Oryctolagus cuniculus: one gene and its partner. The protein of the gene in region 2 interacts with the protein of the main gene of each other region in a pairwise test. Links are inferred from orthologs where the notes say so. Each region holds a gene or a part of one and is shown on either strand. Other genes may lie near its edges.

Region 1 (3,669 bases), on a different chromosome or scaffold from region 2:
CAGGTGTTCGGGCCCCTGCACCCACGTGGGAGACGCTGAAGGAGCTCCTGGCTCCTGGCTTCAGCCTGGCCCAGCCCGGCTGTCAGGGGCATTTGGGGAGTGAGCCCGCAGATGGTCTCTGTTTCTCCTCTCTCTGTAACTCTGACTCTCAGATAAGTTCTTTTTAAAGAATTTCTGTCTGTCTCTCCCACTCTGTTGACTGCCCTTCAAATGAATGAATTCTGGAAACGCACACACACGTGACTTTAAAGAGAGGTCCTGAGGCCGCCCTTCCTCCCGGGCCACTTACCACTCGGGCGGGGGGCTGCTGGGCCCTGGGCCCCGGGGCTCAGCCTCGCAAGGCTGGAGGGGAGATCCTGCTGGATCCGGTCCAGCCGCAGCCTCTGCTGGGCCAAGTTCAGATGTTCCTGTGCCGTCCCCAGAGAGGCGAGTCAGCCGCGGGGGCGGGGGCGCGGGCTGAGCCAGGGCGGGGCGGGGGGGAGCAGGGGCTCGGGCTGAGCCAGGGCGGGGGGTGGGGGGGGAGCAGGGGCTCGGGCTGAGCCAGGGTGGGCGCGCCGGCAGGGGCGGTGGGGGGGGCAGGGGCGCGGGCTGAGCCGGGGTGAGGGCGCGGGTGCGGGCGGGGGCGGGCAGGGGCGCGGGCGCGCGGGTGGGGTGGGGGGACAGGGGCGCGGGCTGAGGCAGGGCGGCCTTGCCTGGTGCATGCGCTGTTCTTGCTGCCGCAACTGCTCCTGCTGCTGCTGCACCACCTGCAGCCGGGCCTGCTGCGCCGACTGCACCTGCCGGGCCTCGCGCAGCGCCCGCTCGCCCTCCTCATACTTGGCGGAGGCCACCTGCAGGAAGGCCGCTGGGTCAGGGCTGGCCGGGCGGGGTGACGGCCGGCCCGGCGCCCCGCGGCACACCTGGCTCATGCTCTCCACCTCCTCGGCGCGCAGGCGCAGGCGCAGGGCGGCGGCCTGGACCTTCTCCTTCTCCAGCTGCAGCTCCTGCCGCTCCCGCTCCACCGCTGCCCGCGCGGCCGCCAGCTGCTCCTCCTGGGCCCGCAGCTCACTGGCCTTGATCTTCAGCTCCGCCTGCTCCTAAAGATGGCAGAAGCTTTGCCGCATCTGCCTTCAGGGGCTGCACCAGGCCTGGGCGGGGCCCCGGGGCCTCCTTTGCCCGCCCTGCCTCTGCGAGGCGTGGTGGGGTCGGGGGCAGCTGTCTGACCGGGGCAGGCTCGGCTCTGAACGGCAGCTTCCTGAGGCCCAAGGCCTGCGTCTGCACAGGGGCCGGGTGTGGACCGTGCACAGCAAAGCGCCTCGCACTCGTGCTGCCTCCCCCCTGCAGGCTCCAGGCCCTACCTTGGCCAGGCTGAGGAGGCTGCCCTCCCGCTGGGTGTCGGCCTGCAGCGCCCGCTCCACCTCGCGCTCGGCTCGCTCCTTACTCAGCTTCTGCTGGGTGAAGAAGTCCGCCCACTCGGCCACCAGGCGCCGCTGCTCCTCAGCACACTTTCTCATGGCGGCTTTCTGCTCCTCCAGCAGGGCGGTCTGCGCGTGGGGCAGGGGCGTGAGCTGAGTGTCGCTGGGCGCTGGGGGTCAGGGCGGAGGGTGGGGCCGCGCTCACCTTGGCTCTGTCCAGCTCCCCCCTCTCCATGGCCATCTGCTGCACCATGACCTTCCTCTGCTCCTCCAGGGCGCGCTGCGTGGACTCCACCTTGGACTGCTCGGCGTTCACCCGCCACCGCTCCTGCAGGGCCCAGGCTAAGAGTGGCTCCCAGCCCCGGAGACAGGCCTGGCTGCTCTCCAGCACACCTCCTTCCCCAAGACAAAACGGGGGCTACCTGCCAGGACCCGGCTCCTGCGGGTGGGGCTGAGGAGGCGCCAGGGGGCGCCAGCCCAGCCCTCAGGTCTCCTAACCAGCGGCTCGGGAGGGCCACAGGACAGCAACCTCCTGTCCCCAAATCATTAGCTGCCACAGCGCTGTGCCTGCTGTCGCCCACAGCCAAGGCGGCCAGGAACACCAGAGGGCGCAGTGCTGTGCTGGGGACCTGGGGCCACGCAGCAGCAGGGCAGCAGCAGGACGGCGCCTGGCCTGAGGCCTGAGGCCGCAGCCAGCAGGTGCACATCGAAGCTGGTACGGCAGCTACCTGGTGCGCGGCGGGGCCCGCATTACGTCCAGTAGTGGCTTCTGTGGCTAGTGGTCGTTTTCATTTCTTACTATTTCCTGTATTTTGCTTTTTTAAATGAAATGTATCATAACCAAATACAAAGAAAGGAAGAGTATTTTTTTTTTTTTTTTGACAGGCAGAGTGGACAGTGAGAGAGAGAGACAGAGAGAAAGGTCTTCTTTTGCCGTTGGTTCACCCTCCAATGGCCGCCGCGGCCGGTGCGCTGCGGCCGGCGCACCGCGCTGATCCGATGGCAGGAGCCAGGAGCCAGGTGCTTTTCCTGGTCTCCCATGGGGTGCAGGGCCCAAGCACCTGGGCCATCCTCCACTGCACTCCCTGGCCACAGCAGAGGGCTGGCCTGGAAGAGGGGCAACCGGGACAGAATCCGGCGCCCCGACCGGGACTAGAACCCGGTGTGCCGGCGCCGCTAGGCGGAGGATTAGCCTAGTGAGCCGCGGCGCCGGCCCAGGAAGAGTATTATTTAAGGACAGATGAAGGCAGCAGGGAGTCCAGACTGGTGTTTGCTGGGCCAGGGCCACAGGTGCCAGCTTATGTGACGGGAGGTGCAGCTGACCGGGGCGCTGGGCAGCCTGAGCTGCATGGCCCAGGGCCTCGCGGTGGGGCCGTGGCCAGGCGGCTCCTGTGTGCTCAGCTGGGCGTGCCGAGACCATGCAGGGGCTGGGAAGATGCGGAGGCAGGAGGCGGCGGGATTCCGAGGCAACACTGGCCGTGGCCGTGGGATGGCTGCAGAGGTGTGAGGGGCCGGGCTCACCTGCTCCAGGAGCCGGCTCTGCTCGCTCAGGCGCGCCTCCATCTTCCCGATGACCTCCTGGAGCTGGCTGCGCTCCTCCTCCATGTCCCGCTGCTGCCGGCCCAGCTGCTCCTGCAGTGCTGGGGGCCCACAGGGTGCTCAGTGCCCCCCTCCCCCGACTCAGGACGCCCAGTTGCTGTGCCTGGAGGGCAGGTTACCTCGAAGCTGCTCGTCCCGCTGCCGGGCGCCCAGCTCCCGCTCCTGCGCGGCGGTGAGGTGCGAGGCCTCCACGCGGGAGGACAGCTCGCTCAGGCTGCTGGAGAACCTCTCCATCTGCTCGATGACGCCGTTCAGGGACCTGGGAGAGCAGCGGGTCACTGGGGGGGGCCTCAGCCCCGGCCCCGCGGGAGGTGGCTGCGGCGGCGCGCACCGTGTGTAGGAGGTGGCCCCGGCGGCACGCAGCGCGTGCGGGGGGTGGCCCCGGCGGCACGCACCGCGTGTGGGAGTTGGCCGCGGTGGCACGCACCGCGTGCGGGGGGGGTGGCCGCGGCGGCACGCAGCGCGTGCGGGGGAGTGACCGCGGCAGCACGCACCGCGTGTGGGAGGTGGCACTGGTGACGGCGTCGATCTCCCGCTCCTTCAGCAGCTTCAGCCGCTGCAGCTGCTCCTCGTGGTCCTTGCGCATTTCCCGGATGGACATCCTGAGGGGGTGCATGGGGGGAGCCAAGGGTCGGGAGCAGGACCCCGGGGATGGATGGCCACCGTGGCAGCCCCC
Region 2 (3,988 bases):
CGCAGGGGCAGGCGCTTGGCCCGTGTCCTTAGAGGAGAGGGCGGGGCCCTGGAGATTTGGGGCTCTCCTCACCACCCCAGAAGTGGCTTTGGGCATGGCTGGTGCGTGGGTGGAGCCCCCAAGCCTGAAACCTCCCCTCCCCCACCCGCGGCCAACCCGGCATTGTCCTCACCCCTCGCAGGTCCAGGAGCTACAGGATGCTCTGATGAGGCTGGAGCCCCTGTCTCCGCGCACCCACAGCCACGCTGGAGGCTCAGGGAGTGGTTCTAGCAGTTCTGGGGCGGATGGGGAGCCCTGGGGGGGTCAGGTGAGTGCGAGAGGCGCAACCCGCAGCATCCAGGCAGGGGAGACCCGGATCCTGGCTCTGGGGGGTTGCATGGCCCTGGGTTCTCGGTGGCCATCTGGCTGGCTCAGGGCACACGTCCTCCCTGCAGGACTCCCTCTCCCTGGCTCACCCGCTGCTCCGGCGCATCCGGAGTGACTCCAGTGTGCACATCCTGGGCTCTCTCCCCTCGCGACCCCTGGCCCCCGAGATGCAGATCCTGGAGGCCCAGATGGAACAGCTCCGCGGGTGAGCGCCACCACTGCTGAGCTTTTAAGGGCACCGGCCGCTGTCCTGCCGCCCCGGGGATGGGCGTCTAAGCCCCGGGGATGGGCGTCTAAACGGGGTAGGAGCGGGGTGGAAACTGGCCCCTGGCTGCTCCCCCCCTCCAAAGAGTCCCCTCGTTTTCCCTCTCCCTCCCCCACCCCGAGACAGAAACATCGAGAAGCTCAAATGCTTCAACCGGCTGCTACTGGCCGTGCTGCAAGGGCGCAAGGGCCGGTGTGAGAGCCTCAGCATGCGGCTGAGCCAGCGGGAAGCCGAGGCTACAGCCCTGCGGCTGGCGCTGCAGGACAGGTCAGGGGAGAGGTCCCCGCGGGGGAGGGGCCGCGAGCCACGGCGTGGGAGGGCGCTCAGGACCCCCGTCCCGCAGTGAGCACCGTGAGGCCGTGTGCGCGGCTCTCCTGGCCCTGCACGAGGCCAGCTCCGGAGCGCGGGACTTGGAGGCCACTGAGAGGGAGGCGTGGCGGCTGCTGGCACAGGAGGAGGGCGGCGCAGACGCCGCGGCACCGCGGAAGGCACAGCCAAGGTAGGCGCCCGGGGACCGCGCTGGGCCTTGGGGCTCCCCGGGGCTGGCCTCCGTGATGGCCTGCGGCACCCACTCCTCCTCTCCTCCCGCAGCCCCGAGGGCAGCAGTGTGGATAAACCCACACCGCAGGAAGTGGCCGCCCTGCTGCAGGGCTATGCCCGGCGTCTGCGGCAGCGCCAGGCTCTGGTGAAGACCCCCCCAGAGCCGGGCCCCACCGTGGAGCCCACGCCCACCATGCCCCACGCAGAAGCCATGGTGCAGGCCATGCTGGAAGCCCAGCCCGGCCCGGCCCTGCCGCGGTTGGAGAAGATGGAGATACAGAGGGAACTGGTGGCCACACGGGTACACAGGGGCTGTGGTCCCTGGGGGGGGGGGGTCAGAACCGACAGAGGTGTGGTTGGGATGGGGAGGGGGAAAGGTTCTGCTGGGCTGGGAAGGGCTTCCTGGAGGGAGAATTGAAGCTGGGGTTTTGAGGGATGAATAGGAGTTTTGTTACTCACAGACCTCTCAATCCAGTTTTTCCCAAACGTGCTCGCCAGCCTCAGTTTCCCCTCCCCGACCCCTCAGGAGACCCTGGCGGACCTGATGTTGCAGCTGCAGCTGGTGCGGCGGGAGAAGCGGGGCCTGGAGCTGCGGGAGGCGGCGCTGCGCGCCCAGGGCCCCGCCCACGCACTCCTGCTGGAGCAGCTACAGTGGGAGCGCGCGCAGCTGGGAGCCGCGGGGCCCCACAGCGGCGCGGGGGACAGCAGCGGGGCGGGCAGCAGCGAGGAGGAGGAGGAGGAGCGGCCCCAGGTGAGCGGCCCTTCGGGGGTCGCTGCCCTTGGCCCCTAGGGGTTCAGTGGATGAGAGAGAGAGAGGGAGAGAGGTCTTCCATCTGCCGGTTCACTCCCCACATGGCTGCAAAGGCCGGGTCTGGGCCAGGAGCCGGGAGCTCCATCCGGGTCTCCCACGTGGGCGGCAGGACCCAAGCCCTGGAGTCGTGGGCCCCTGCCTCCCAGGGGGCGCATGCGCAGGGAGCTGGGGCGCACGCAGATCAGCTGGGACGCCACCAACACTCTGATACGGCCACGGCTGTCCCAGGCAGCAGCCCGCCCCGCGGTGCCACCACACCGCCCCTGCCCCAGGCTTCTAAACGGGGCTCTTCGCATCACCCCTCCCACCTGCAAGCCGGTGCTGCCACCAGGAATGTCCACCGTCTCCAGGAAGCCCTCCTGGGTTGCCCTCAAAGGAGCAATATTCGGCACCCCACCCCACCCCGGCCCTGTGACTTATCTCCCTTATCAGGGACTTGAGGGTCTCTTAGCAGAATGGGGGCTCTGGGAAGCGAGGGGCTCTGGCTGCCCCCCCCCCAGGCCAGCTTCTATGCCCAGGCTGGGCTGAGCACTTCTAGACAGAGGTCACCTCCCTCCCTTCTGTCTCCTACAGGGTCCTCCTGCTGTCCCCAACGCCACCGAGGGAGGCCAGGTGGGCAGGGCGTGGGACCCGGAGAGGTTAGCCCAGGAGCTGGCCGCTTCGCTCGCCAGGTGTGTGCCTGGGTGGGTTCTGCGGAGGAGGCGGGGGTGGGGACGTGTGTGTGTGTGTGTGTGTGTGTGTGTGTGTGTGGTGTGGCAGCGTGCGCCTGCGCGCAGGGGCGTGGGGAGCGGAGAGGAGGACCGGGTCGGGCCGCGGCCGGAGCCCCGCTGTCTCCACTCCCGCGCCAGGGCCGCGGATCTTCGCGCTCAGCTGCGGGCTCTGTGGCGGGAGCTGGAGCAGGTGGCTCAGAAGGGGCGCGTCCGGCGGGCTCAGAGCGCCGAGCTGAACAGCGATCTATGCAAGGCGCACAGGTGGGCCGCCGCCCCCCGCAGCCCACCCCTGCTGACCGCGGGTGTGTCCCTGGGCCTCGTTCCCCCCACTTGGAAGATAGTGAGCGGGTGCAGTGCAGGCCACGCCTTTCCTGCAGGATGCCCGGAGCCAGCTAGGACGTAGCCCCGCCCCCGCGGCGCCCCGCCCCGCCCCCGCCGCAGCCCTGGGTGGGGTGGGGGTGCTGTTCTCTGGGGTGGGGCGCTGTTCCCCGGCTCAGCCACCCACACCCTGCAGTGCCCTGGTCCTGGCGTTCAGAGGCGCCCACCGGAAGCAGGAGGAGCAGCGGCGCAAGTTGGAGGAGCAGGTGGCAATCCTGGAGGCCCGGCAGGCGGAGGAGTTGGCAGCACTGGAAGCCACGGCCCGGGCGCTGGAACAGCCCGGGTGCCCCTGCCCGCCTCCTCCCCCCCAGCTTGGGGAGACCTTGCTGTAGGCTCCACCCCCAGCCACGTGTCATAAACCGGCCTGGAGTGACTTGTCGCCCTGGGGTGCATGTGTCCTCATGGGTGGGGACCGGTTGCCTGGGCCACCGGGGTCAGGCTGTGAAGGTCATGGTCTCCCCCTCCCCCCCCCGGGACCCGGAACAATCAATCCAGGGGACAGGGAAGGTGGCAGAGCCCGAGCTGATGTCCCCAAGTCCTTTCTTTGTCCAGAAACCCAGGGCGGGCCCCTGGGGACAGGACACTCGTCCCCTGCCCATCTGCTTCCCAGGGAACAATCCAGAACAACTGGAGGCCCCCAAGGTTGGGGTTCAGGTTCAGGTTCAAGGCGTGGATGGTCGGCTGGAAGAGGAATCAGGGTTTGTGGAGGCTGAGGGCAGGCATCAGAGAAAAGTCTGGAACTCTCGATGCGTGTCCTTCCGGGGAGGGGGTGGGGCACAGGCCTGCCGGGCCCTGGGCAGCCTGGGAGCTTCCAGATCTCCCGCGGAGGTTGGGGGCAGCGGGAGGCGTTCCTGCCAGGTTAATTGCAGGCGACTGATTAGCATGTCATTTGCATAGGCCGCACCCCCAGCCCCTCCG

What was found. The genes of interacting proteins can lie anywhere in the genome.
Region 1: the proteins of USHBP1 (region 2) and FBF1 interact in binary tests that used the Homo sapiens proteins (3 or more experiments, as listed by UniProt). The two-hybrid records come from large-scale screens. The link is inferred for Oryctolagus cuniculus from reciprocal best matches to the Homo sapiens genes USHBP1 and FBF1.

What each region holds. Positions count from the first base shown.
Region 1 is NC_091448.1:4,749,012-4,752,680, reverse strand, and holds part of FBF1 (fas-binding factor 1), read right to left. Parts: intron 3,596-3,669; coding exon 3,389-3,595; intron 3,253-3,388; coding exon 3,113-3,252; intron 3,035-3,112; coding exon 2,916-3,034; intron 1,723-2,915; coding exon 1,600-1,722; intron 1,524-1,599; coding exon 1,338-1,523; intron 1,077-1,337; coding exon 900-1,076; intron 831-899; coding exon 693-830; intron 408-692; coding exon 290-407; intron 1-289. UniProt on the Homo sapiens protein: Keratin-binding protein required for epithelial cell polarization. Involved in apical junction complex (AJC) assembly via its interaction with PARD3. Required for ciliogenesis.
Region 2 is NC_091447.1:65,254,453-65,258,440, reverse strand, and holds the end of USHBP1 (harmonin-binding protein USHBP1), read left to right. Parts: intron 1-181; coding exon 182-307; intron 308-434; coding exon 435-571; intron 572-757; coding exon 758-898; intron 899-974; coding exon 975-1,130; intron 1,131-1,222; coding exon 1,223-1,472; intron 1,473-1,697; coding exon 1,698-1,922; intron 1,923-2,555; coding exon 2,556-2,653; intron 2,654-2,830; coding exon 2,831-2,953; intron 2,954-3,206; coding exon 3,207-3,402; 3' UTR 3,403-3,449; downstream 3,450-3,988.